Mus musculus: one gene and its partners. The protein of the gene in region 4 interacts with the protein of the main gene of each other region in a pairwise test. Links are inferred from orthologs where the notes say so. Each region holds a gene or a part of one and is shown on either strand. Other genes may lie near its edges. The genes, in order: Paf1, Rabac1, Baz2b, Fxr2, Scel, Bysl and Zmat2.

Region 1 (3,888 bases), on a different chromosome or scaffold from region 4:
ACAAAGACAGGGACAGCCAAATCACAGCCATTGAAAAGACTTTTGAAGATGCCCAGAAATCGGTAATTGGGGGGAATAGAATAGAGGCAAGAGTGTGGCTCAGGGTCTTCCTCTTTCTCACCCTTTTTGTTCTATCAGATCTCCCAGCATTACAGCAAGCCCCGAGTGACACCAGTGGAGGTCATGCCTGTCTTCCCAGATTTTAAGGTCAGACTCAGGGAAAGAGGCGGGGGTTGCTACTTGTGCCTGTCCAGTCCTTACTAACTTTAGTATCTTTCTATTTCCCAGATGTGGATAAACCCATGTGCTCAGGTCATTTTTGACTCAGACCCAGCCCCCAAGGACACAAGTGGTGCAGCTGCATTAGAGATGATGTCTCAGGCCATGATCAGGTCTGTGGTCTTGCTTTCTACCTTGTGTGCTCCTTGCTGCCTCTCCCATGTTTGAGTATTTTTGAGATGGGTTATGATCCTGTTGTCCTGGCTGACCTCTAGGCTCCTTGCATTCCTCCTGCCTCAATCTCTGGAATGTTGAATGTATAGGCATGTGTCACCACACCTAGCTTTGTTACTTCTTTGCTTTTGACCTTTGTACCCTCTTCTCCCCCAAACCAGGGGCATGATGGATGAGGAAGGGAACCAGTTTGTGGCTTATTTTCTGCCTGTGGAAGAAACACTAAAGAAACGAAAGCGGGACCAAGAGGAAGAGATGGACTATGCACCAGATGATGTGTAAGTGGGTTAGGGTTAGGGTCAGGGTCAGGTTTTAGAATTCAGAAGTATGTCTCCTCCTCATGAATCAATGGGCTGTGTATCTTCTTCCCAGGTATGACTATAAGATTGCTCGGGAATACAACTGGAATGTGAAGAACAAGGCCAGTAAGGGCTATGAGGAGAACTATTTCTTCATCTTCAGAGAGGGTGACGGAGTTTACTACAATGAGCTGGAGACCAGGTACTCGGCACTGTTTCATGACTTTGGCCCTTTGTGGTCCCCCCCCCCCTTTTTTTTGAGACAGGGTTTCTTTGTGTAGCCCTGGCTGTCCTGGAACTCACTTTGTAGACCAGGCTGGCTTCGAACTCAGAGATCCGCCTGCCTCTGCCTCCCAAGTGCTGGGATTAAAGGTATGCACTACCACGCCCCCCTCTCCCCCCTTTAAAGACCATGCTAGGACAGCTACAGCGTACTTACATATAATAAATAAATAAATAAATCTAAAAAAAAAAAAAAAAAAAAAAAAAGAGAGCAGCAGGAGCCTGCTTATAAATGTAGGCTGGACCTGGCTGTGGTCTTAATGCCATAAACCAGAAAGAAAATTTTCACATAATGCAGGATATAAATCTAGTCATTTTTCTCACACATGATAGGCAAGTGCCCTCCTGTATGATACATTCCTAGTCTCAACAGTTTTTTTTTTTTTTTAAAAGATTTATTTTATTAATATATGTAAGTACACTGTAGCTGTCCTCAGACACTCCAGAAGAGGGAGTCAGATCTTGTTGCGGATGGTTGTGAGCCACCATGTGGTTGCTGGGATTTGAACTCTGGACCTTCGGAAGAGCAGTCGGGTGCTCTTACCCACTGAGCCATCTTACCAGCCCGTCTCAACAGTTTTAATAAGCTTTTTGTATGTGACATGTTTATGTTCATGCGTGCACATACTGGAGCCAGAGGTTGCAATCAGTTTTCCTTTGTTGCTTTTATTTTGTGTGCATGTATGCATATGTATATAGTCATATGCATGACCTGGCATGCACTTGGATGTTAGAGGATAACTTGGGGCAAGAGTTATTCTTTCCTGTTCCACCATGACACTTTACCAACAGAACCATCTCCTATACCCTTCAGCAGGTTTTAAATACTTGACACAACTTCAAAAGTGTGCCCTTGTTGTGTGACCTCAGAACCTTTCTCTGAGGGCTGAAAGCTAACTTGTCCTAGTGCCAGTGGTTCAATATGGCTCTGATCCTGTTGTCTGGCTGGAGATGTGAAAACAGGCAGTGGCATCACCTTTAGTGAGTACTACAATACAGCTGCAAGTCCACTGCTCTTCTATTTAAAATCCAGAAACACACGTTTGCCATTTTCTTGGTTTTATGCTTTGGATAAGAGGCCTTGGAAAATGACTTAGCAGTGATGAACACTGGCTGCTCTTCAGAAGACCTCAGCTTATATCCCAGTTCCCAAGAGATTCTGATGCTCTCTTGCGGCTTCTTGGGGTACTACAACACAACACACATACAGGCAAACCACCCATTCAATTAAAATCTTGAAACAAAAAAAACCCTGAAAACTTAAAAGTTGGGTAAGTCAAACCCGAAATACCATCTTTCACATCCACTGTATGTATACTTTGTCCTCTGTTATGTTCTGGGTCAAATATTGATAGGGAACCAGATGTTAGACTGGTCCTAGTGGAGCCCAACTCCCCTTCTGCAATTGTCCACTGCAGGGTCCGTCTAAGTAAGCGCCGGGCCAAGGCTGGGGTTCAGTCAGGTACCAATGCCTTGCTTGTCGTCAAACACCGTGACATGAATGAGAAGGAATTAGAAGCCCAGGTAAGCTGTACTGGCCCAGGATGCCCAAAGGGAGTCTAGTGGGTAAGGATGGCATCAGAGGTCTGATAGATTTCTTTCATCTTCTTCCCAATTTGCTGGTTTCAGGAGGCACGAAAGGCCCAGTTGGAAAACCACGAACCAGAGGAAGAGGAGGAGGAAGAGATGGAGGCTGAAGAGAAAGAAGCTGGGGGCTCAGGTAAAGGATTAGTCACATCCTGGGAGCCCTGGGAGGGTGGGCATTGGGATCTCACCAGTCCCCTACTTCCTCACAGATGAGGAACAGGAGAAGGGTAGCAGCAGTGAGAAAGAAGGCAGCGAGGATGAACACTCTGGAAGTGAGAGTGACCGAGAAGAGGGTGACAGAGATGAGGCAAGTGACAAGAGTGGCAGCGGTGAGGATGAAAGCAGTGAGGATGAAGCACGTGCTGCCCGGGACAAAGAGGAGATTTTTGGTAGTGATGCTGATTCAGAAGATGATGCTGACTCTGATGATGAGGACAGAGGGCAGGCCCACAGGGGCAGTGACAATGACTCGGACAGCGGCAGTGATGGTGGTGGCCAGAGGAGCCGCAGCCAGAGCAGGAGTCGTAGCCGGAGTGCCAGCCCCTTCCCCAGTGGCAGTGAGCACTCAGCTCAGGAAGATGGCAGTGAAGCAGCAGCCTCTGATTCCAGTGAGGCTGACAGTGACAGTGATTGAGCCTCAAGGCTTTCTAATGAGATCAGCACAGACACCATTTTTAGGGCAGGGAAGCACTTTTCTAGTTGTCTGTTTTGTGAGCTTTTGTCACTACCCCTCAATCTTTGCTGTTAATAAACCTAACTTCTCTTGACTTCATCTCCTAAAGTCTCTGTTCCCCTTCACATCATCTTGCCGCTGCCGCCCCCCTTCCCCCCCCCAAGAAGTACAAAATCAAGTCCCCATGGATTCCCAGGAAATGCATCATAAGAAAAATGAAGAGTCTTTTTGGTTATTTTGTTTTTGTTTTTTTTGTTTTCCAAAATAAGCCCAGACCATTAACAATCGAAACTTCAACAAATAAGTCTTTTCCAACAGCGAGAAAAATGTACAGTTACTCAAAGCTGATTCTGCCAGTGGGGCTGGGGACAGAAGTGGGTAGGGTAGGGTGAAACCATGGAGGGGCATGGGGGTGGGAGGGTCAGGGTCCTGCCTGTCAGAGCGAGGCCGCCTGCGTCCTGCACTCTGCTGTCAGATGGGTGGGAAGCTCTCACCTCCCTCTTGGGGAGGGTATCCCTCATCACCTTCCAGTGCCAGGCAGGGTCAGTCACCCTGATGGGAAGTGAACAAGACAAGACTGGACCGGCTTGTGGG
Region 2 (4,148 bases), on a different chromosome or scaffold from region 4:
TGGGGGAGGCCCCTTGAAGTCATGCAGCCGGCATTATGATCAAGGTCTCGAGTTCCTGTTAATATCTTCTGGCTTTTTCCCAGTGCCACTTGCTCTGGGAAGCACAGGAAAGAGCTCAGAGCCAAGTCCCATCTCCCACAGCCTTCTCGGATGTCTCCTACTACCTACTGACTCAAAACCCATCTAACGTGAGCCTCCTCCCTCAGGAACCTGAAAGTACCCCCTGCCTCATCACATCTCTACCTCAGGGTCCTCGCTTCCACTGTCCCAAAGGACTCCTTTCCCAGCTTCCAGACACCTATCCTAAAAATCCCAGTATTCAAATTTCTTACATTCTTTGAATTAGTTTGCCACTTTCTGCAACAGTGTTGCCTCTGGATCCCACTGCCTTCTCCACTGCCTTCTCCCGAAGCCCCGACTCCCACCAGGGCAGCAGAGACTTGAGGGTCATGAAATAGAAAGAATTTGCTTAGTCCTCTTAAAGAAACTGAATTGGTTCCCATAGCAGTCAAACCCAGCTGACTTTTGCCGCCAAACTGGTTTCCAAGGTTCTCTGTCTTTTCCAGTACTCTGGCCTTGTGGTGTCCCTCTTTAGTCTTTAGGCTAACTGTACATTTGCAGTCCTCCACTGATCTGAAGCAATGCTGGACCCCAAGTGGGAAACCCAGACACAATTTCCTGCTGAGTGGCCCATACTGAAATCCCAACCCGGAGGAGTTCCGTTCCCAGCACCCATGATTTCTAGACAGCTCATAATTGCCTGTAACTCCAGTTCCAGGAGCTCTAAAACCCTCTTCTGGTGGCACACACGCATAAACATATAAAAGTAAATCTTTTCTTTTAAAATGCAAACATTTATTTTTAAATCATGTGTATCTGAGTGTGGGTATGTGCACATGAGTATGTCTGATTGGCTAGAGCTGGAGTTTCGGGCAGTTGTGAAGCACTGGGTGTGGATGCTGGGAACCAAGCTATGATCCTTTGAAAGAGAAACAAGTAAGCCATCTCTCCTGTCTCACTTTCAAAGTAAATACTTTTAGGAAAGAAAAAGTAAATGAACTCTTTCCCAGACTTGCCCAGTTAGAATCAGAATATCTGAGTTTTCGAACAATGTTTTATTAAGCTCTCTCGAGCCAGAACGACAGCTCTGCACGGTCCACGGAAGTACGTTTCTGCCATTCGAACTCCCACAAAATCCTCTGTCCTGACAGTCCACCTGCTGTAGTCCACGCTGAGCCTCCTGAAACTACAATTCCCACAATGCCTAGAGGCTCCCGACGAGCTCTTAGCATACATCTCCCAAGATGTCTTGCGAGGCAAACCTGCCTCTTGACGCCACGATGACTACAACACCCACAATGCTTGGAGGAACAACTACCGCCCTCTAGAGCTCCCAACGACGCCACTTCCAAAGAGTCCCGGCTGGGGTGGGGCCGCCTAGGTGCTGCTGGGCTCCGGGCTATTTACAGCGGTTCTATCCACTGCAGTGCAGACATGGCGGCCCAGAAGGACCAGCAGAAGGATGCCGAAGGGGAAGGGCTGAGCGCCACGTGAGCAAGCAGGGTGTTACCCCCAGATCCGAGATGCAGGAGTCCCTCATCTCCTCAGAGGTCCTGGGAGGGACTCAGTCCTGTTGGCTCCCTCTCAGGACCCTTCCTCCTAGGGGTTCAAGGTCATGCTTGGGACCAGGTGTGCTAGAATCTGGGGTCCAGATTCTACCCTCTCCCTCCCTTCAGCTGCTCTGCTCTGCCCTGCCCATTAGGACCCTGCTGCCCAAGCTGATTCCATCCGGCGCAGGCCGAGAGTGGCTGGAGCGGCGCCGGGCGACCATCCGGCCCTGGGGCACCTTCGTGGACCAGCAACGTTTCTCGCGACCCCGCAATGTGGGAGAGCTTTGCCAGCGCCTGGTACGCAACGTGGAGTATTATCAAAGCAACTACGTGTTCGTGTTTCTCGGCCTCATCCTGTACTGCGTGTGAGTGCCTCTGCGGCCCCGCCCTCGATAGTCAGACCCCGCCCCCGGCTGCCAGGCCCCGCCCAGACCAGTTAGCCCACTTTGTCACTACAGGACCCGGTCAGTCTGTACTCCTGCATTCACCTGACCAGGATGTGGCCTTCGCTGGCCTAGAAGGACGTAACCTCAGTCTGTGTCCAAAGCTAGAGGGGCCTGGCTGACGCAGCCTCGGATACCTAACTCCTGTCTCCCACACTCTTCCAGGGTGACATCTCCCATGCTGCTGGTGGCTCTGGCTGTCTTCTTTGGCGCCTGTTACATTCTCTATCTGCGCACGTTGCAGTCTAAGCTTGTACTCTTTGGTAAGAAATCTCCTGCCCAAATGGCTCCTCGGGCCTTTCTGATCGTGGTCTCACGGAATGCAAACTTCCGAATAGTTGGGACCCAAGACGGCCCCCACCGAGCTGTCCACTAGAGTCACTTAACTTGGTCTTTAAGGGCTTAGACCCACCAGGTGCTCCCCTCCAGTCTCAGCTTCCCAAACCCAGAGAGACCCCAAAGCCCTGGCACCTCTGTCTCTTGTAAATGACTTAATCCAATTCCACTCAACCCCCCCCCCCCCCCCCCACGGAACGCATCAGCTGCAGATACCCACACTGCACACCAGGTGGCGACCTCATGCAGGCCTAGATCCGTGTTCCTTCCCAAGTCTTGGCCCTGATGATTCTCAGAGGGGAAGGCTGAGATCTGTAAGTCCGGTGGCCCCAGACTGTCACCAGGACCACTGGAAAGAAAGGTGTCAGGGAAGACCCAATGAGGGGAATCCAAAAGTTTCCGAGGAGACTTAAAATAAGTCTTTCATAGCCCAGCAAGCTTAAGGACCAAACAAAGATAGGCTGTGGCAAAGAAATAGACTGAAGCAGGTCAGAACTTGGCTTCTGCAGGTAGTGGTCACTAGGACATACACACTTTTCAGGCATAGGAGAGCGTGGGGCGGGGGTGGAGGAAATTAATATATATGTACTAGGGTTTAAAGAGTGTGTTGCTATGCCCTAGCCTTAAAAAATGTGTAATGCGGGCCCTCTGGAAGAATACGTGCTTTTAACTCCTGAGTCACCTTCTCCAGCCCCCACAAACCAAATTCTCGCAAGGTGCATCAAAGAACACATCCTTAAAACCAGAAGCTGGCCTGTGCCTCTAATCCCAGCACTTGGGAAGCTAAAACAGGAGGATTGCTACAAGTTCAGGATAAGCCTAGCCGGGCGGTGGTGGCGCATGCCTTTGATCCCAGCACTCGGGAGGCAGAGGCAGGCGGATTTCTGAGTTTGAGGCCAGCCTGGTCTACAAAGTGAGTTCCAGGACAGCCAGGGCTACACAGAGAAACCCTGTCAAAAAAAAAAAAAAATCAAAATAAGTGCCTAGAGAGATGGTTCAGCAGTTGAGTACTCAGTTGAGTACTGTTCTTGGTTTGGTTCCAAGCACCCAAGTCAGGTGGGTGCCCATGGCCACCTCCTCATGGGCACCTGATCTTGGGCACGTATGCGTGCAGGGCATATACACACAATTCAAAGAAATAAATCTTAACAAAGGAAAAAAGGGGACAAAAATCCTTAGGTCAGATTTGACTGTGGAGCCACCAGCCTGAGACTCCCGGTGACCAGGGTGGAACATCAGGCCCTAGTCTGAAGTGACCTGAGGGCTCCTGGGAGAGGTGAAGCTAGACAGCAGAGGTGGGGCAGAGGAAGGTTGTTATGGGGACAGGGGGCTTTGGGGAGGCAGGGTAGGGGCCAGGTATGGGAGACACTGATGTGAGGAGTCTGTATTATTACATGGAAGGTTCCAGAGTCTGTGACACTAGATGGGTGGAAAGTGACCCTGGACACTTGTGGGAAAGGGTCGGGTGGGAACGGCTACCTTACACCATCTGTTCCCAGGCCGGGAGGTGAGCCCAGCACATCAGTATGCCCTGGCTGGTGGCGTCTCTTTCCCCTTCTTCTGGCTGGCCGGTGCTGGCTCTGCTGTCTTCTGGGTCCTGGGTGAGTACAGGGTCTGTGTAGGGTGAGGCTGGGAGCCAGGCGAAAGAGCACAGCCTGAACCACCCATCCCCCTACAGGAGCCACGCTGGTACTCATAGGCTCCCACGCTGCCTTCCACCAGATGGAGCCTGCAGATGGCGAGGAGCTGCAGATGGAAC
Region 3 (3,500 bases), on a different chromosome or scaffold from region 4:
GTTTGGGACTAGGAAAATCTACTGGCTTTGCTACTTCAACAGCCACTGGCTGAGCGCTGGAGGGTCTTTCAGCTGGAGGGACTGGAGAGTCACTTTTACTTGAAGCAACACTGGAAGTCAAGAATGAACTACTGCCATTTCCTTCTGGCAGTCCCAACCCTGAGCCGAGAGCAGGCAAAGGTGATGTAAATGGGACGTTGGAAGCGAGCACTCCAGCAGGCCACCCACAGAACTGAAGTCCCATCATAGACACACCACCTTTCACCTGTAAAACACAACATTTCAACCCCAGATTAGGGTTCTGTCGGTAAGGGCACCTAATACTAGGCCTGATGTCCCTGGGGCCCACATGATGGAAAGAACCAACTCCTGCAAGTTACCCTCTGATACATAATAACAAAACATTTAAAAATGTTGCATAATAATAAAAACATTTAAAAAACCAAATACCAATTCATCTAAAGAGTTGGAGGAATGTTTAGAAATTATTTTTCAAATTCTAAAACTCTTACCTTTTTACCAGAGAAAACCTAAATCCATTAGCAACAATGTTAACTTTCATGTTGTATCTGTTCCTGAAGAGTAATTACATGTTTGCTATCCTGCAACTGTAATGAACTGAATATTGAGGTCAACCTAGACACTGGTTAGACAATAGCGGTGCCAATGAAGCTTGGTGACAGAAATCCTGGCTGCTTGGGATTTCAGGCCTGTTAGGATATTTTAACTTTGATCTCTGTGAAGATCACTAAGGGTTCAGTGAGGTGCTGGCACAGTGTGTTTTGTCAGCATCACTAACCTGAAGAGGCGACAGAGCAAACGGGTTCAGTCCAGGGGGGCTCTGAACAGAAGAGGGTCCGAGCAGTGCAGCTGGGGCCGGCGAAGGTGACTTAGATGGTGGCTGAGACTGAGGAGTCACCAGAGTGGTGGACAGGTCAGCGTGGGTCAGGGACGTGTCATCGCAAGGTGTTTTTGGCAAAAGGCTAAACCACTGTCTGTTCTTTTCAGTCAGTGTTTTTAACAGCTGGTCATTGGGGAGAGGACTGTAGAACTTCCCACAACTGCCGGAGCCTGAGCTAAAGAGACTGGCGTCTGTCTTTCCCACGGGGCTTTGTGCTGTTGTTGCTGAGGGAACGCTCCCCAGTGGATGCTTCCCGCTGTTCTGATGAGACAGTGGGCCCCCGTTTGTACTAACATTCACTTTTGGGGGGGTCATAACATCTGACTCAGGAGGCATTTTAGCTACCTCTAAAAGCTTGCTTAACTTGGAGAAAGAGCCTGGTTTCTGAAGAAATAGATTTGTGTTATCTTTCTCTTTTGGGTCGTCTTTCTGCTCGCAGTGATCTCTAATGGAACAGTTTAATGTCTCCGCAGAAGTCTCAAATACTTCTTCTTTGATCTGGAGACTCTCTGCCTTTTTAAGCTTTTCTTTTTCTTTTGCAATTTCTTCTAGGCCTACAAAAGTAAAAGATTCCATTAAAGAAAATTATTACACAACAAACCACTAATGGAGTTAAACTGTATTATTCACCAAATCATATGTATATGAAGCAAACTCCTGTATTATCTTATATTCTGCATTTTTTCCTATGGAATTTCTTTCACTCATTAGAAACTTAGTATATATTCACTATAAAGATTAAACTATGGGGGCTAGGGAGATGGCTTGCGGGGGTAGGAATGTTTGCTGTGCAACTGCAAAGACTTGAGTTTGAATCCCAGCACCCACATAAAGAATGGGCATATATGACTGCACATGTATGGAATCAAGTGTTGGAAGGCAGAGCAGAGAGCTCCTAGGAGCCTGCAGCCAAGAACAGCTCCTCGTTCAGTCAGGGACCCCAACAGAAGACAATAAAATCAAGAGAGGTAAAGAAAGACATCCAATGTCCTCCTCTGCCTTCCACGTGTATGGCACAGACACACATACAACACATAACCCTGTCCCAAAGGTTCAATCATTAAAAACAAAATCTGCAGAGTGAAAACCACTAGATCTACATAACACTCCAAGGAGTTCACCATGAATCACTCAGCCTATGTAATCTGAAAAAGGGAACCTGATCTAGACTAGCTGATTAAATTAATTGGAAATATCAATAAATATATAACTACATCTACATGATTCTAAATGGATGACATCATGACTGACCTGTCAAGAGACTAGGCAGAGCGTAACTGCCACTATTAACAATACATGATATGTATTTTCATTTTTTTTTGTATTTTTCATATCTATTTTCTTGGGCAAATTCTTTAAAACATGCAACTTAAGCTATATACTTGTAACAGTTCTTGAAGCATACTTGGATCAACTGTACCCCAAATACACTTGTACCAGAAGCACACAAGGGTAGCTAGTTTTCTACATCCTCAACAAAATTGTATGCTGTCAATATTTTTTTCCTTGCCAATGCCCAGGAGGTAAAAAACTAATCTGGATCACATTTGATCACTAGTTGACTAATTATCTTCTTTATGATTTATTATTTCTTCTATAATTCTATCAGAAAAGTAACAGACTTTCCGGTTAAAATCTTCAGTCATGTAGAGTGCAGTCCCCTCACCCTTACCTCCCCTCAGTGGGAGTCATGTTTAATCAATTCTATGTATGTATAACGAAGTTACACATACCAGTTAGTATCTAGCTTCTGGCGTTCATCATTTTTCATATTTATTTCTCATTTGAATGGCTTCTTTGGAGACACATTTGTTTATGTCCATTTTACATTGTGTGTATACATGTGTGTCAACATATGTGTATGTGTGTGCTGCTTATGGTTTGTAGTACTGTATAAATAGAATTCTGTAAACTCCTCTGCAATAGAGGATAAAATCCCAAGTCCTTTCTAAGGCCTTAGCATTCTATAAGATCTGAGTGAAAACCCCTATAATCCCCACACCACTGGCCTTTCTCCCCACTTTCTGCTCCTCAGTGTGTTAAGACTTTCCTTCAGGCCTTTGTGCTTTCTGATCTCTTGCAGGATAGTGTTCTATCTACTATTTCTTGGCCTCCATGTCTATAAGAGCTGTTTCTTCTCACTCACCTTGGAATACTTCCTTTAGAGTTCACCATTAAACACACTGATCTCCCCTTTAGTCCTCCCCTTGTGTGTCCAGTGGACTTCAAGCCAATAAGCTCTCCTTACCACGGGGCTGCTATAAAATAAAGGGTTAATACATGTCCCAGTGATGGCACTAGAGGATGGAGTTGGGGCCGCAGCTACAGTGCGCTGACAGCCAGCGCTGCTGTGGCGTGCACTGGGCACCTAGGTTCAGCCCCTCAGAGTGTGGAGCGTGTTTAATTCTCTCTGAAGCTCTAGTGAGAGCATCCCATGGCAAGAAGCGCCAGGAGCTTCGTTGTGATCATCTGCATGACACAGAGTGTCATTTGTCACCAGGTCTTGGGAAACATTTAAAAGCGCTCACATCCTTCTCTTGACTTAGCTTCGAAATGGAATGAATTCTATAGGTCATGCTAATTCTTTTTCTGGGCAGCT
Region 4 (4,260 bases):
ATCTCCCTTTCTTGGTCACAGAGCTCTGGTTCATCCCACTGTGGATTTGATAATCTCCCAGAGACACGTGGTCCTTCAAACTCCTGTACCATTGGGCCGCTATCAAGTTCTTCAAGTTTCTGATGGTGTCATCTGTGTTGCATTTAACCCTGACTTCCTTTCCAAGAAGGTTGTTGTTAGCAGCCTCAATCATTGTGGTGGCAGCTTAAATCTTGACGACACAACCTGTAGTTTGAACACTGATCCTATTTTATTTTGTTAAGTATTTATTTAATGTATATGAGTACACTATTGCTGTTTTCAAATACACCAGAATAGGGTACCAGTTCCCATTATAGATGATTGTGAGCCACCATGGGGTTGCTGGGAATTTAACTCAATACCTCTGGAAGAGTAGTCAGTGCTCTTAACCACTGAGCCATCTCTCCACCTCACACCCCTTATTTTTACAAAAAAAAAAAAAAAATCTGTTATACGTGTGGGTGACCACGAGTGATGTTATATGTATGATGTTCAGGAGACAACTTGCAGGAGGATATCTCCTTCCATTTTGTGGTCTAGGAATACAATTCCCGTTAAGCTTCGTATTCGAGCCATCTCTCTCTCTCTCTTTTGTTACTCCATGACAGTTTTTCCTGTATTGAATCCCCTCAGAATTTATGCATCAAGTTATGTGGCATTTTGTTTTTCATACGGCACTAAATTTACTAGAATACTAGTCAACTTAGGGCAAGCATGGTAATGACATGGCTGTAATTTTTGCACTTGGGAGGTGGAGGTTGGAGGACCTATTCAAGGTCATTCCCCCACTACCTAGTTAGTTCATGGTCAGCCTAGGACACAAGAGACCCTGTCTCACAAAACTTAAAAAAAAAAAAAAAAAAAAAAAAAAAAAAAGTCTACTTAAGCCAACAACAGTGACTCTTGATTCTCCTATGGATGCAGAGAGTCAACACATGCGCATGGACACCAAAGCCCAGCGCCTGCGCACTGGGCAGTTTTTGCCTTTTGGTTCCCCCCCCCCCCCCCTTTTTGGAGTGTGCGCACCAAGAAAGACAAAGGTGGTGAAAGTGACCAAGCAGTCATTCGGGCGCATGCCCATCCCTAAATTGCCCAGGCTCCATGGGGCTCACTTTGTGGAGGCGGAAGTCCAATCCGATGCAGCGAGCGCGGCCCCCCTCTCCCTTTGATTGGTTTGCTTCCAGTGTTGTGGGGCGGGGAAAGGAAGGGACAGGGACAGTGGAAGGTTGGAGTGGTACAGAGAGCGTTCGCCTCGTTCTGCGCAAGCGCAGAGAGGCGACCAGGAGGGGGCGTGAGAGAGTGCAAGAGAATGTGGAAGCCCTGACGCGCTGGCGAGCGGGAGCTGGGTCGCTAGCCTAGACGCCTGCGCCTTGGCCCTCCGGCTCCGCGCGCGGCGGGCGGGTGCCCTGTGCGCCTGCGCAGTAGGCGGCGGCAGCAGGGGGAGGTGGAGGCCGTGGAGCGGCAGCGGCGGGTCCCGGGACCGAGGCAGCAGCGGGGGCGCCGGCGGGCGGAAGCTGAGGTGACGAAGGCGGCGGCGGCGGCGGCGGCCGTTTCCCTCACGGTGGCGGAGACCAAGGCAGCGGCGGCGGCGGCGGACGGGGAGCGGCCCGGCCCCGGCCCCCTGCTCGTCGGCTGTAGCAGGGCCGCCGTGGGGCCGGCCCGGCTCCCGCCCCCCGCGGCTCCCCCTCCGGCTCCTCCTCCAGGGAGACGCCGGGGACCCGGCCCGGCCCGCACTCAGGGCTCTGTTTCAGCTGCTGCCGGGCCAGTCGGAGGTGGTGGCGGCGCCATGGGCGGCCTGGCCTCTGGGGGGGATGTGGAGCCGGGACTGCCCGTCGAGGTGCGGGGCTCCAACGGGGCCTTCTACAAGGTGAGACGGCGCGTCGACCCGGGCCACCCTCCTTAGCCCCCTCCCCCAGCCGAGGCAGGGAAGAGTGGAGCGGGATCGAGTTTCTGGAGCTTGGTCTTGACCCTTAGAACCTTCGACCCACGTTCCCACTCGAAACCCTCCCGTGGCGATCGTGGGAGTTAACCCTCGTGCTTTTATTTTGAGCTCGCTGTTACACCTGCTTTTATCAGCTGAAAACATGGCCATCAGGTCATTCCTGTGCGGGGATGGGAGCCCCGGGTCCCTTTGGAGAAAGCCCTTTTCCTAGCTTCTAATCGACTTTTCTTGTTTTTTTTTTTTTTTTTTTTTTTTTTTTTTTTTTTTTTTTTTAGTGTAGGCGATACTTCAGCTTTTAATCACATCACCCCTGCAGCCCAAGCACATGGAGGATTCGCATTCTTTTCCTACATGACCCCCTTGGGAAGGTCCACTGTCCCACATTAGGTCTTCAGGGAGCCTTCTGCCTACTGGCTCTAGACCATTTGCTCAACTTTTGGTCTTAAATTCCTGTTCCCAGGCTGACAAGAAATGGTCAAAACCCATCTGTGTTATTTAGCATTAGCATCTTTGGCCTCAGGTTTTTATCAGCCAGCCATAAAGTGGATTTGTTGGACAAGTTTGTCACCCACCACACCTATATTCCAAAATCACCTATGAGGGATGGATTCACGCTTATCTCTTTGACTCTAGATATATTTAGGTCATTCCTCTATCTTCTTGGTAAGTTTAAGCTTCACTGTCTCTCAAAGGCCATCTCAACAAGTTCTTATTCTAACAGATTTCTGCTTGTTGACAATCCTTCTGGAAAGAAAAAAAGTATCTTTCAGAATTGCTTCTTTAATCAGCTTTTTCTTTGCCTAAGATTTGATTCCTGTGAACTTTTTTAAGGGGTGTGGTTGGGACAAGATCCCCTCCCTGGCTGCACTTGAACTCTTCCTCAGCCTAGGATTACAGCTCTGGCGTTACTGGTTGAGCCACCATGCCAGACCAGACTTTTGTTTTTTCCTTCTTTCTATCCACCACCCACCCCATCTTCTGTATCTGTCCTGAGTCTATTCTGGATCCCACGCCCCAGATATTTTCTTCTTCTGATCAGTGGGGTTCTGAACATCTTTTGACTTTTATGAGTGGAATTGTCCCGGACACGTTTGGTCCCTCTCTTACTCTTCATCCTGGAGAGAAAGAGGAATTTCCATAGCATGAGATGGGTGAGAAGAGCCCCTTTTTCTTCAGGTTTCCTCAGGTTGTCTGTCCCCCTACCCTAGTAGAACTTCTACTTTCTTATGCCCTTGGAAATAACTTTCTCTGACTCTACTATGAAATTGTATCTTTTTTGTAGCTGAAAAAAGACTTAGGTTTGCCCTACCCCTGTAGATGGTTCCTACCCTCACTTCAACTGATATGCTAGTTATCCATTATAAAGGCCAGGCCATTTTTTTCCCTTTTCTGATCAAGTTCTTTACCCAGTGCCTATGGGTGCACATACCTATTAGCTTTAATGCAGCTTCTCAACTAAGTCTCGGTCTTTTTAGCTTGGTATTTCTGTATTCCTGTGTATCCTTGATGATGTCTACCTGTCTAGTCTGTGTATAGCTGAAGAAGGCTCCTAGCTGATTCTGTCACTTTCCTAACTCTTGGTACTTTTTCTTCAGACCAGAACAGTGTCTCTAACATTTCTGTTTTCTGTAGCAAAAGTCTTTAATTCTTTTGGCTTCTGAGAGGACACATTAATGTTTTAATATCTATTTCACCCACATTTGTATTACCTTTGTTAAAACAGTCTCCTCAGGCTGGGTATGGTGGTACATACTCTAACCCTAGTACTTAGAAGGCTAAAGTAGGATTGTTGAAGTTCAAAACCAGCATGGGGAATGGAATCCAGTCTAAAACAACCCAAACAAACCCAAAAAGTACTCTTTATTATGCTCTCTTTTCCTCGATATGTTAGTCTTCATCTGTATCCTTCTAACATCAAAATGTTAAAAATTCCAAAAAAGCTGTGTGTAGGTGTGTGTGTGTATATACATACATACACACACACACACCTACACACACACCCACCCCCGTTCGATTTCTGGGTACAGGATTTCTCTATGTAGCCGTGGCTGCCCTGAACTCAAACTCTGTGGGATAGGTCTGCCTTTGTTGAGTGCTGGGATTAAAAGCATCCACAACTACTCTTAGTTTGAAAAGTGGTTCTTAAATTGAGTATGAGATCAAGATAAGATATTTGCATTTGGTTTAAGGAAGCTCAGGAGCCATGCACAGCTGGGACAGATGAGTGCTCAGTTCCAATTAACTGTATGACATGGTTGGGCTGGGACATGAATTCTGTTACACATATGGGTATCCAA
Region 5 (3,253 bases), on a different chromosome or scaffold from region 4:
TAGTCCAGGGAGCTTCACCAGAGAAGTTCTCTATGCAAAGGAGCCAAAAGAATGGTTTACAAATCAGCTGTGGCAAGGACAAGATAACCAACTAATGTCTCAAACAATAAAACGGACTTGTATTCATCCTTTGTTTCCACAAGGGAGAGCTGTGTGACTCAGGCACAACCTGCCGAACCAAACAAAATGCTGGTCACACAGGGATGCGGGAGGGTGTGAGGAGTTGTACCAGTTACAGAGCAGGGGAAGGTTGGCCTCCATTTTTCTTAGACATGGCTGCTGATTGGCCAGGTTTAAAAATACTGGTTGGTTTTCAAGATGAATCACTAAAGCAAATTGTCTTTGATCCCTATATTAAACATTTAAACTAGTTTAAGTGGTTTTCTGTTGCACTGGCTGTAGAGTAATTTGTCTTTTTCTCTGAGCATGAGCGTAATTTTTGAGTGTCATGGTCTCTAATATGTCAAATGGAAATGAATCACATAAAATGCAATGAATGGAAGTTATTCCTATTTACCAAAAGCAATAACCAGAAGAATTTCTATTTTAGAAAATTTTATGCATACCAATTTAAAAATCTAAAGGTATATACGTTTATTTAATGGAGTATATTTTGCAACTAGAAATACTTTCATCTTATGACTAAACAATTCAATTGCTTCATTTTCTTTTTATTTTACATTATTTTTATTAGATATTTTCTTCATTTACATTTCCAATGCTATCCCAAAAGTCCCCCATGCCCTCCCTCCCCACTCCCCTACCCACCCACTCCCACTTCTTGGCCCTGGCATTCCCCTGTACTTAGGCATATAAAGTTTGCAAGACCAATGGGCCTCTCTTTCCACTGATGGCCGAATAGGTCATCTTCTGCTACATATGCAGCTAGAGACATGAGCTCCAGGGGGTACTGGTTAGCTCATATTGTTGTTCCACCCATAGGGTTGCAGACCCCTTTAGCTCCTTGGGTACTTTCTCTAGCTCCTCCATTGGGGGCGCTGTGCTCCATCCAATAGCTGACTGTGAGCATCCACTTCTGTGTTTGCTAGGCCCCGGCATAATCTCACAGAGACAGCTATATCAGGGTCCTTTCAGCAAAATCTTGCTAGTGTATGCAATGGTGTCAGCATTTGGAGGCTGATTATGGGATGGATCCCTGGATAGGGCAGTCTCTAGATGGTCCATCCATCTTATACTTTTATAATCCTATATTGTGCTATGGTTTCATTTGCCTATTTATTTATTTATTTGTTTATTTATTTATTTACTGGAATCACATATGCCATGAGACTCAAGAGACAGTCAGTAAACAACTTCGTTCTTTCCTTCCAGAATGCGGTCTCTAATGATGAGGACTTAGATCCTCAGATTGGCTTCAGGTGAGACACATGCTGAGCCATCCTGCCGGCCTGGATACCTGATTTTATATTAAAATAATGCACCATGGTTTTGATTGCTAGGTAACTGGTGGATAAACCACCAATGGACACAGTCGTTCATCTATTTGGCTAAAATAAATAATTTGCATCTAAAGGTCTTAGGCTTTTCACATTGGATGCACATGAGATAAATCTAAGGAGCCTCTAAAGCAACTAGTGTCCGAAAATAATCTCTGCAATCTTAAATTTCCTGTCTGAGTATTCTAAGGCTTTTTTTTCTCTTAATCAGTCTTTATGATTTTATACTTGCAACCAGTGTTGAGAAGCAAATCCCAGTCAATGATCTATTTTCTAGCTAAGGAAACCAAAGCTTGGTCATCTGATTGCCCAAATGCACCGGCCACCATACTGAAGGGCAGAGGTTGAACTGAGGTCTTCAGACACCCAGTACAGAGCTCACACAGTCGCACTGAGATGTGACATGTGTGGACAGACACAACACACAAGCCCAGGTGAGAAGGAGCTGAACAAAGCGAAACGTGGAAGTGTTTGCCATTGAACATGTCTGCCACTTGCTCAGCCACAATGGACCATGGGTTCCACAGCACACTGCTTAGATTGCTGTGAAGTCTTGAACTCATGACAAGAGCTAGCTTTATGTTCAACAGTCTACTGTCTATGTATGATTCCATTACATACATGATGCAACACACAGTTTATTAAAATGTTACAGAAAATTAAGAATGACAAATGCTTATCTTTTCCACAGACCGAAGTCTCCTAAGAGATGGGTGAGTGACAGATTCTAAGCCTAAAACCGAGGGAGTAATTATAGACCTTTGAGGGTGACGCTGCAGAGCACCTAGGGACATGAGTAGCATGGTATTGATGTGGGTCACAGAGCGTTTAAAGCTTTGGCTTCACACTAAGCACTTCAGTAGGTGCATTTCCCTTGGCGTTGTGCCACATTCCTCACACTCCAACATGAAGTGAGCACGCACTTACCTTAAAGCAGGTGGAATGGCAACAGATCTGTAATTCATCTAAAATCATCTTGGTTTCCACCCCCAAGGGCTTGCGGCAGTAAGTGCACATGTCTCTTTCAATGACAGACCTGTAGTGACGATAGAATTAAAAACCATTTAAAATTTGCCGTCACGTAGGGACAGGTGTGTGCCCTCTAAAGTCACACGAGACTGTGTTGATACTGATGGGGTTTTAGGATGTAAGAACATCAAGGAAACAACACACAGGAAAAGCCTCACATGATTCATTTACCAGCCATCAAGAGCAAGGGCAGAAAAAGATGCTCAGTTTCCCAGTTAAACTAAATCAGAAGCATTCCTTGAAGCTAGAAGAACATTTTAACGAGTTTACATAGATCTCTCTATACACTGCATAGGGAGACTGGACAGCAGATTGATGCAAATTTTCATTTCTGAAAACATTCAATAGGCCCCAAATAGAACTCAATTTGGGGATGTGTTTATAAACTCACAAGGAGCCTGCTACAAATTGATGAGGAAAAAAGTGGTTTTTCTTACTTATTTTAGAAACTTAATCTTCAACAATAAATGAACTATAGATATGATCAACAGTCAAAAATCTGAAATCATGGCAGACTTTAAATAAAGACCCTTTTCCTTTTGAAAGGTTTTAGAATTGTAAACAGCTCCCAGTAGATTTTTCTGGTTTTATAGCATTATTAGCAAGCAGGGCCAAAATATCCAGAATAGCATACATGAAAGGGCAATGAAATGAAAATACATAATACTTATGCAGTGCATGCATACATTAATGTTGTCATGATCTGCATCCTTGTATTCTCTTGCCATGCTACTGAGAGAACTATTTGAGTGACTCTGACTATACAT
Region 6 (4,109 bases), on a different chromosome or scaffold from region 4:
GACCAGGCTGGCCTGGAATTCACAGAAACTTGCCTGACTCTGCCTCCCAAATGTTGGAATCAAAGGCATCAGCCCTCAGATGGATTGCCTGACTCTTCCAAAGGCCCCAGGAAAGGCCCTGTCCTGTATCAACTTACTGCAAACAGGGAAACTGAACTCTAAATGACTCTGCTGTGATCTGTCTTCATTGCTCACAGGCATTCTTTACAGTAGGGTAGAAGTATGAGATGAGGCTCCTAGTGTCAACTGTGGCAAGAGCCTTCCTTTCACAGGGCAGACCTGTGGCCCCTGGCCTCCAAGCTTCTTTAACTGGAAAGAAGCACACCACTACCAAGACTTTTAAGTGCTGAGGCCGAGTACTTTAAAATTAATACCCAGAAAAGCACGGTGCCCAAACCTTACCAACTGCCTTTTTATCAAGTGAGACTTCAAACATGTTTAAGATAAAAGTCAATCAAAACTGTCTGAAGCCCAGGCGATGGTGGCTCGCGTCCGTTTCATCCGTGCGCTTGAGAGGCAGAGAGAGGCAGGTGGATCTCTGTGAATTCGAGTCCAGCCTGTTCTACAGAGTGAGTTCCGGGCCTCCCAAGCCTACACAGTGAGACACCCAGCTCGAAAAATTGTCTCTGCCTGGTACTCCGAACTCCAAACTCCCAACCGCTCCTTTCCTCCTACCTCTGTCACTAGCCCCAACACCTTAAAATGGCCAATTCAAAGTCTGTAACTGCAAGCAAAATAGAAAAGTCACTTTCTCCTCGCGCCACTCTTATCCCTTTCTGCGAACAACTCCTAATCTAGAAACCCTATTTCTAACCTTTGGGTGCTAGTAGCGACACTACAAGGCCTCAAGGACAGGAAGAGGTACCAAGAAAAAGGTACAACTCCTGGCGGGTCCTAGGGATGCGCTGCTCCCTTTGCCAAAGGGGTGTGTCTGGGAAGAGAGAAGTCCCACGCAGTGTCCCCCATCCACACAACCGGAAGACATCTTGGTCAGCCCCCCGAGGAACCGAGAACCTCGGTCAAAATCCCTTTCCCCGGGCCATCACAGGCCCACAGACACCTTCACGACCCTATATGCTCCGTCACCACAGAAGCCCTTCAAGTCCTACCACGTCACTCCCATAGCGAAGGATCAAAAGGTGGCGCCTCCAAACCCTCGAACTCAGAGACTCCAGACCTTCACGCGAACGGCGGCCCCCTAAACACAGGAAGCAGTCGTTGATCGACCGCCGGAAATGCGCAAATACTGAGCGCCGCGGCGACACGCCCACAGGGAGCGCCATCTCTGGTACCCAGTGGTGACATTTCTAGAACGTCATCGACTCGGCTCCGCCCCCAAGGCGTCCAACGGGTTGACAGGACGCCCTAGGCTACTTTCATGAATTCTGGAAAAGGGTGACTTGGACATCCACCTTTCTAATGAGATTACCTGAGAATTTGGGGGCTCCTGCTATAGGTCCCGAAGCTCTTCCTGAGAGTAATAGATGAGGAACTTCCGGCCTCCTAACGCTGGGGGGCACTGTGATCTCTCAGTGGCCTCTTGGCGATCGGAACACACAGCGCAAGCGCAGTATCGGCTTTTTAGCCGGCTTCACACGTGTGAACCTGGTGGGCAATTTTTTCGGCCAAAATGCCCAAATTCAAGGTGACACGTGGGGCCAGCAATCGGGAGAAGCATGCACCTCTGGCCGAGCAGATCCTGGCTGGGAACGCAGTGCGCGCGGGGACCCGAGAAAAACGGCGGGGGCGTGAGGTCGAAGAGGAGGAAGAGTATGTGGGACCCCGGCTAAGCAGACGGATTTTGCAGCAAGCCAGACAACAGCAGGAGGAGCTCGAAACTGACCATGGGGCTGGTGATCGGTCAGCACCACCGCGAGAGCGCGCCACGCGGCTGGGTGAGTGACAAGGGGTGGAGTCGTGAGTTGGGCCGGTCTGACACCCCATCAGAATACTTTACCGGCGTGTTCCTCCACTTCCACTCCTGAATTCCAGAATTCAGAGTTAAGCCAACGAAAAGTGATCTCTCACACCAGTTCTAGCATTATTTTATTTTAGGTTTTTTTCGAGACAGGGTTTCTCTGTATAGCCCTGGCTGTCCTGGAACTCACTTTGTAGACCAGGCTGGCCTCGAACTCATAAAGCTGCCTGCCTCTGCCTCCCAAGTAAAGGCGGGTACCACCACCACCTGGTGGTCTAGCATTTATTTATTTATCCTCTGGGCGTTTGAAGTATTTGTGGACTGCCTGCATAATGTTTTGAGCTGTGTTAAGTTTTTAGGCAGTTTTGATACAGAAATAAGATATTCGTTCCTCCTGATAACACCGGAAGTCTAGCTCAAGGCACCCATTAAATAGAGTTACATATTCCAAGCAGGAGTGGCGAGGCTCACCTGTAATCCCAGCACTCGAGAAGCAAGGCAGAAGACCTTCTTGGCTATATAGTAAATTTCAGATTAACGAGCCCTGTCTCTCAAGAGAGAGGAAAAAAGTGATGATATTTCTATTTAAACAAAAAAGCAGATGAACATTAATTCTACATGGTGGGTATCCCAGATTTCATGTCCTTCGAATAAGACCTGAAAAGCAAGTGGGGACTGTCCCTGTCCCAGCGACAGGGGAGGGGAAACAGTATTGTTTACGGGCTAAAAGGGGGAAGAGGGGTGGGTACTGCCACCTGTCTCACTGGGGAGGAATTGTTGTTCACCTCCCAGTTGCTTAATCTTCCATTCTTATTTCTCCTAAAAAGCAATATTGACACATTTGAACATGGTTTTGGGCCTACAGCAGCTTTTTCTGTTTCTTTTAGTTTTTTTTAAAGTAAGGGCTCATGGAGCCTGGGATGGCATCTAATGCTGTAGGGGAGGCTGACCTTGAACTCCTGATCTTGCCTCTGTTTTCCATGTGGTGGCATGATAGGTGGGTGACACCACACCTGCCCTTAAAATAACTTTTTTTTTTTAACTCTGAGACTGAGTCTCGTTAAGTTGTTCAGGCTGGACTTGAACTTGCTGGGTGACCAAGACAAGGTTTGACGGTCCTTCTGTGGTGTCGTCAGGGAATTTCACTTTGAGGCCATTTGTTTGACAGCTACTTCCAGTTTTTTCTCCCTCAGAGTTCGTCCAAGAAAGCTCACATCTTTATATCCAGTGGTCTACCTGACATCTCCAAGTTGAATACTAGTATCTAACTCTAGTAAGATTGCGTCCAAGCAGGGCAGTGGTGGCGCACGCCTTTAATCCCAGCACTTACAAGGCAGAGGCAGGTGGATTTCTGAGTTCAAGGACAGCCTGGTCTACAAAGTGAGTTCCAGGACAGCCAAGGCTACCTAGAGAAGCCCTGTCTCGGAGAAGGAAAAAAAAAAATAAAAGAAGAAGATTGCATCTAAAACAGAAGTTGTGACTTCCTTCCCAAACTTGCTCTCTGTTTGCTACTTGGAGGTTGTTAGCACATTAGCTCCACTGCTCCAGTCAGAGTCCAGGCTTCCTCTTTCTCACTTCAAAGTAAATCCTGGTGATGTTGTCTTTAGAGTATTTCAGAGCCAGACCACTTTCCATTCACCTGAGACACTCCCTGATTAAGCTACCAGGGTCTCTCCCCTGGATCACTGTGGAAACATCGTGCTTTGAATTCTGTGACCTCTGTGGTCCATTCAGCAGCTAGAGATTGATGGCGTCCTGTCTGGTCTGTCTCTGTTTCAGGTCTGACCACAAGCTAGGGACAGGATAAGATAATGCTCACAGCTGGTGAGGTCCATGCTTTGAGAGAGCATGAGCCCTGACTTCCACTCACAGCAGCTTGTAGTTTCTGAGCTACAGTGTAGAAGACAGATCTCTTGGGCCTACTGGGCAACCAGTCTAGCCTAATCAGCTATCCCCAGGTCCCAGTCAAATCCTGTTTCAAAAACAAGGTCATCAGCTCCCAAGAGTCACTTCCATGATGCAGGGTTCACTCATATACAAAAAGCAAATGATCACAACAACAAAACACCACACAAATGTCAGTGACTGTCTCCTGATTTTCTCTCTTTTCCCTACGTCGTATTTCATAGCTCTTGTCTTCCTTTGTTTAACATGTATTTTGTGTGCATGTGCGTGGCATGATGTGTGTAGA
Region 7 (4,095 bases), on a different chromosome or scaffold from region 4:
GGGGAATCTCTTGAGTGTAGGGTCACTTGAATAAGAGTAAAGATTAAAACTAGCAGGACATAAGAGGGGTTTAATGTTTAGACAGCAGGTTGGATAGATGAAGAGGGTAAGATGCAGGGGGAATTTGGGGAACGCAGCCTCAAAGAGGGAGGTCTTTAGGGGAACACAGAAGGGCAGAGGTCCTGTGACTCTAGTAATATACCAAGGAATCTCTACAAAGAGATTTTCAGGCCAGCCAGGGCCAAATAGTGAGACCTTGTCTACAAACATACCACACCTATAATCCCTGTAATCCCTCTTAGAAAGTGGTGGCAATAAGTTCAGGCCAAAACTGAACTCTAATTTGCCTAGCAAACCGTATTTTAAAGACTAAAACACTTGTGACTGTAGATGCCCCATTCACCAGCATGTACTATGAATGTGGCTCTAAATTATGCACAGAAGACAAGTAGTTTTACATTGTCCCCTCCACCACTACTACCCCTGACCCCCACCACCACCCCTGCGCCGCCAAAAAAATTAGTGCTACTTTTTGGTTAAACTCATTTTGATGTCTGGAGAACATCTAAACTCATTTCATTTATACAGTACAATTTAATCTTGAAAACAGAATCAGCCAACACCCTAGAATGAAGCATTCGCCACTCTAACGAGTGCTTAAAATATGTTGTTTGTGGAAGAGGTTTGCTAGGCAGGAAATTGCCTAGCAGGGAACCTAGCTCAATTGGTAGAATTGAGCTTGATAGCATGAATGAAGCCTCTAGGACCACATGAACCGGTCGTGGTGGTACATGCCCCATAAATTCAGCACTTGGGAAGTAGAGGCAGGAGAGATCAGAAGTTCAAGATTAGAGACTATATAGCCAATTAGAGTTCAGTTTTGGCTACCTGAGAACCTGTCTTTAAAAAAAAAAAAAAAACCAAAACAACCAAAACTAGAAATCCGGTAAAAAACAAAACAAAACAAAGAAACCCCTAGAAATCAGGTAAAGTTGGTTAGATCATGGAGCACTATTTTCAAAACTCTGATTCTTTGCATAATAGAAGAGATGAGCTATTCTTCTGGGCTTGTTTTTAAAGCCAGAGAGAAAAACGTTGGCCCGTGCCCTTACTTCCGTGTAGCTTCACACTCCCTTTGCGCCTGCGCCATCTCCCTGGAGCAGAGGGCGGGGCCAACAGGACTGCCTTAGAATCGCTCCAGTCCTAACGCAGTCAGAATGAGAGGCTCGGATCTTATTGGAGCGTGATCTTGCCTTCTGGCTCCAGGGCGCGTTTTACTGCACTTTACGGCTTCCCATTCACTTCGCTGTGAAGATGGCGTCTGGCAGCGGGGTAGGTGTTGGTGTGACGAGGTTTGAGGGGTCTGGGGGATGGCTTTTCAGAGCTAAATAGAGACAGGCTGTGAGATTTGACTGACTTCCTGACACCTCTTCGCGATCTCAGGGTTCAGGTTCGAGAGCTCCCCCGTAAGGCCTTGGCGCAGGGACAGTGGAATCTCGGAAGTCTCTCGGGTTGGGGGTCCCGAGTCCACCAGACCCCTGGGCGTTCCAGAGAGACTTCTCTTCCGAAAGGTCCTGGGGCCGCCCCGGTGGCCGTTAGGCGGTTCCCTTAGTTTCTCCAGGGCAACAGGCACAGCTACGTATCTTGAGCACCTTTTCCCCCCCTACAGACAAAAAACTTGGACTTTCGCCGAAAGTGGGACAAAGATGAATATGAGAAGCTCGCGGAGAAGAGACTCACAGAGGAGAGAGAGAAGAAGGATGGTGGGTGCTCGCTCCACGAAGGGATAAGGGGACGGTAGAGATGATGCTGTGGCTAGAGAAGGAATGCCTCAGCAACAGGATAGATAAATCACTTGCAGTTAACGAGGCAAACAAAACAAAACAAAACAAAACAGAACAAAACAAAAGCCCTAAAGCTTTTTCCTCTCCTTTTTACGTGAGCTTCCCCTAGGCGTAGCCCATATTCCAAATCAAATCAAATCAAAACCTCCCAAACAAGCGTGTCCAGCTGCTTGGGTCTTAGTTGATTCCAGATGTAACTGCATGAAAACATTGAACATACGCTACTCGGTGTGAGTACCCCTCTTTTGAAAGGGTCACCTCCAGGAAAAATTCAGAACTCCTCAGTTCAACTAGACAACACATAGGAAACACTGTTTACATTTGCTGGCTTTAAAGGGAGAAAAGCTCTTGAGAGTTGGCAGTACCATTGCAAGTCTGAGGCCAGCTTGGTCCACATAGTGACCAGGCCTATGTCTATATAAGTCCAGGCCAATTAGAGTCTTTCCTAGCCTCTTTGAATTGCTACATAAAGTACCTGTTGTGTCCGTTCTTTGAGGAATTAAAAAGAAAAAAAAAAAAAGCATGAGTAGTCTTCTGAATTTTGGGGTTCATAATCTTTTTCCTTTCAGGGAAACCAGTGCAGCCTGTCAAGCGGGAGCTTCTGCGGCACAGGGATTACAAGGTGGACCTGGAGTCCAAGCTGGGGAAGACGATTGTTATCACCAAGACGACCCCACAGTCTGAAATGGGAGGGTGAGTTGCTTCCTGTCCGACTCTTAATACCACAGCTGGCCTAATAAACTGTATTGGTTTTTAGGAAGTGTTGAGGAGAATCCTGGGCCCAGGGATGGCCACCGTTCTGACCATAACCTGATTCTTTGTCTTTCTTTGTCCCCTGAAGTTTGTAGCCCACTCGGTCCTATTTCTAGGAGGGGTGGTTCTCTGGGCTTCTTCCTATTGGTACTGTAATACTTCCCTGATATCTTCAGGGGGGCTATATAGTCTGTTAGAAGACCTGAAGGCTCGGGGTGGGTTTTAGGTGGAGCTGTTAACTATAGTTTTTGTGCACCAAGATTGTGACCTATCGAAGAGTTTCACGGACCTTGTCACCCTTTGCCACCATTCCTTAAAGTCTGTCAAAGTTACAACTTACATCAGGAGACTCAGACAGATAGCAATCCACTGTTGTGATTCCTTTGCTGTGTACATTAAATAGTTAGCAGCATAACATAATAATAGCTCATAGTTTCTGTGGGCAAGGAATTGAGGGGTGGTCACCTTGGAGGTTCTGGACCTGGGTCTCTAATAAAGCCGCAGTTGTGGAATTGACTAGGTTTGCATTCGTTGGGGCTTAAATAAAGTTAGAAGGTCCTCTTCCAGGCCCTCCCGTGCCTGTGGTTCGGAGGCTCAAGTTTATTCTCTGGGCCTGCTTGTAAGGTCATTCACAATGAAGTGTAAAGAGGGACTTTCCCTAAAGCAAGTCATGTGAAGTTTGTCTGTTTTGTTAATTGAGACATTAATTAGACATCATCTAATTTTACCTAGAGATTTGAGTTTCTTTCCTGAAAACAGTAAGATCCTTAGAAACCAGATTGACCCATGTGCTGTTTCTTCCCATTTGTCAGCTACTACTGCAATGTCTGTGACTGTGTGGTGAAAGACTCCATTAACTTCCTGGACCACATTAATGGAAAGAAACGTAAGGCATGGAGGTAGTTGGTGGCTGGAGCTGGGTTGGGTTTTAAAGGTGTGCTGGAGGGCAGGTGTGGTAGAGTGGTTTTCTGGGGCCTTTCGTTTGTTCGTTTGTTTGCTTGCTTGCTTCTGAGTATCCCTGGCTGTGTGCTACCTGTGCATGACCACAGAGGCCAGAGGAGGACGTTGGCTGGCCTTGATGATAATCTGCCCAGTAAATAGGAGCAGGTGAGGCTGAGAGCTTCTTTTAGCCATAGTTATTTTTGTTGTGTACTTTATTATGAAAAGGTAAACAAGTAAACAAACCTAAAAAAGCCAGGGCGAGACTTTCCCGGGGGGGGGGGGGGTGGCTGAGGATGTTATAATGACTTGTCTCCGTTGTTAACCTCACCCAGATCAGCGAAACCTGGGTATGTCCATGCGCGTGGAACGCTCCACTCTGGATCAGGTAAAGAAGCGTTTTGAGGTGAACAAGAAGAAGATGGAAGAGAAGCAGAAAGATTATGATTTTGAGGAAAGGATGAAGGAGCTCAGAGAAGAGGTGAGGCTCTGCTAACCCTGCTCCCCAGCTTGGAGTGTTTTCCTTGTGGACCGAGGGTGGCCCTCTTCCTCCGCTCAC

The links.
Region 1: the proteins of Fxr2 (region 4) and Paf1 interact in binary tests that used the Homo sapiens proteins (3 or more experiments, as listed by UniProt). The two-hybrid records come from large-scale screens. The link is inferred for Mus musculus from reciprocal best matches to the Homo sapiens genes FXR2 and PAF1.
Region 2: the proteins of Fxr2 (region 4) and Rabac1 interact in binary tests that used the Homo sapiens proteins (3 or more experiments, as listed by UniProt). The two-hybrid records come from large-scale screens. The link is inferred for Mus musculus from reciprocal best matches to the Homo sapiens genes FXR2 and RABAC1.
Region 3: the proteins of Fxr2 (region 4) and Baz2b interact in binary tests that used the Homo sapiens proteins (3 or more experiments, as listed by UniProt). The two-hybrid records come from large-scale screens. The link is inferred for Mus musculus from reciprocal best matches to the Homo sapiens genes FXR2 and BAZ2B.
Region 5: the proteins of Fxr2 (region 4) and Scel interact in binary tests that used the Homo sapiens proteins (3 or more experiments, as listed by UniProt). The two-hybrid records come from large-scale screens. The link is inferred for Mus musculus from reciprocal best matches to the Homo sapiens genes FXR2 and SCEL.
Region 6: the proteins of Fxr2 (region 4) and Bysl interact in binary tests that used the Homo sapiens proteins (3 or more experiments, as listed by UniProt). The two-hybrid records come from large-scale screens. The link is inferred for Mus musculus from reciprocal best matches to the Homo sapiens genes FXR2 and BYSL.
Region 7: the proteins of Fxr2 (region 4) and Zmat2 interact in binary tests that used the Homo sapiens proteins (3 or more experiments, as listed by UniProt). The two-hybrid records come from large-scale screens. The link is inferred for Mus musculus from reciprocal best matches to the Homo sapiens genes FXR2 and ZMAT2.

What each region holds. Positions count from the first base shown.
Region 1 is NC_000073.6:28,395,996-28,399,883, forward strand, and holds the end of Paf1 (RNA polymerase II-associated factor 1 homolog), read left to right. Parts: coding exon 1-62; intron 63-138; coding exon 139-207; intron 208-288; coding exon 289-392; intron 393-614; coding exon 615-731; intron 732-825; coding exon 826-954; intron 955-2,452; coding exon 2,453-2,558; intron 2,559-2,663; coding exon 2,664-2,754; intron 2,755-2,830; coding exon 2,831-3,255; 3' UTR 3,256-3,388; downstream 3,389-3,888. UniProt on the Homo sapiens protein: Component of the PAF1 complex (PAF1C) which has multiple functions during transcription by RNA polymerase II and is implicated in regulation of development and maintenance of embryonic stem cell pluripotency.
Region 2 is NC_000073.6:24,969,929-24,974,076, reverse strand, and holds the start of Rabac1 (prenylated Rab acceptor protein 1), read left to right. Parts: upstream 1-1,348; 5' UTR 1,349-1,494; coding exon 1,495-1,550; intron 1,551-1,762; coding exon 1,763-1,975; intron 1,976-2,218; coding exon 2,219-2,316; intron 2,317-3,888; coding exon 3,889-3,990; intron 3,991-4,001; exon of another isoform or gene 4,002-4,067; coding exon 4,068-4,148. UniProt on the Homo sapiens protein: General Rab protein regulator required for vesicle formation from the Golgi complex. May control vesicle docking and fusion by mediating the action of Rab GTPases to the SNARE complexes.
Region 3 is NC_000068.7:59,912,741-59,916,240, forward strand, and holds part of Baz2b (bromodomain adjacent to zinc finger domain protein 2B), read right to left. Parts: intron 1,456-3,500; coding exon 800-1,455; intron 266-799; coding exon 1-265. UniProt on the Homo sapiens protein: Regulatory subunit of the ATP-dependent BRF-1 and BRF-5 ISWI chromatin remodeling complexes, which form ordered nucleosome arrays on chromatin and facilitate access to DNA during DNA-templated processes such as DNA replication, transcription, and repair.
Region 4 is NC_000077.6:69,631,511-69,635,770, forward strand, and holds the start of Fxr2 (fragile X mental retardation syndrome-related protein 2), read left to right. Parts: upstream 1-1,460; 5' UTR 1,461-1,807; coding exon 1,808-1,888; intron 1,889-3,889; exon of another isoform or gene 3,890-4,009; intron 4,010-4,260. UniProt on the Homo sapiens protein: mRNA-binding protein that acts as a regulator of mRNAs translation and/or stability, and which is required for adult hippocampal neurogenesis. Specifically binds to AU-rich elements (AREs) in the 3'-UTR of target mRNAs.
Region 5 is NC_000080.6:103,607,341-103,610,593, reverse strand, and holds part of Scel (sciellin), read right to left. Parts: intron 2,494-3,253; coding exon 2,385-2,493; intron 1-2,384. UniProt on the Homo sapiens protein: May function in the assembly or regulation of proteins in the cornified envelope. The LIM domain may be involved in homotypic or heterotypic associations and may function to localize sciellin to the cornified envelope.
Region 6 is NC_000083.6:47,608,693-47,612,801, reverse strand, and holds the start of Bysl (bystin), read left to right. Parts: upstream 1-1,309; 5' UTR 1,310-1,630; coding exon 1,631-1,895; intron 1,896-4,109. Other genes in the region: Gm20517 (predicted gene 20517), read right to left, coding at 1,110-1,123; Med20 (mediator of RNA polymerase II transcription subunit 20), read right to left, coding at 1,110-1,123. UniProt on the Homo sapiens protein: Required for processing of 20S pre-rRNA precursor and biogenesis of 40S ribosomal subunits. May be required for trophinin-dependent regulation of cell adhesion during implantation of human embryos.
Region 7 is NC_000084.6:36,792,628-36,796,722, forward strand, and holds the start of Zmat2 (zinc finger matrin-type protein 2), read left to right. Parts: upstream 1-1,295; 5' UTR 1,296-1,314; coding exon 1,315-1,332; intron 1,333-1,669; coding exon 1,670-1,763; intron 1,764-2,413; coding exon 2,414-2,537; intron 2,538-3,409; coding exon 3,410-3,483; intron 3,484-3,871; coding exon 3,872-4,017; intron 4,018-4,095. UniProt on the Homo sapiens protein: Involved in pre-mRNA splicing as a component of the spliceosome.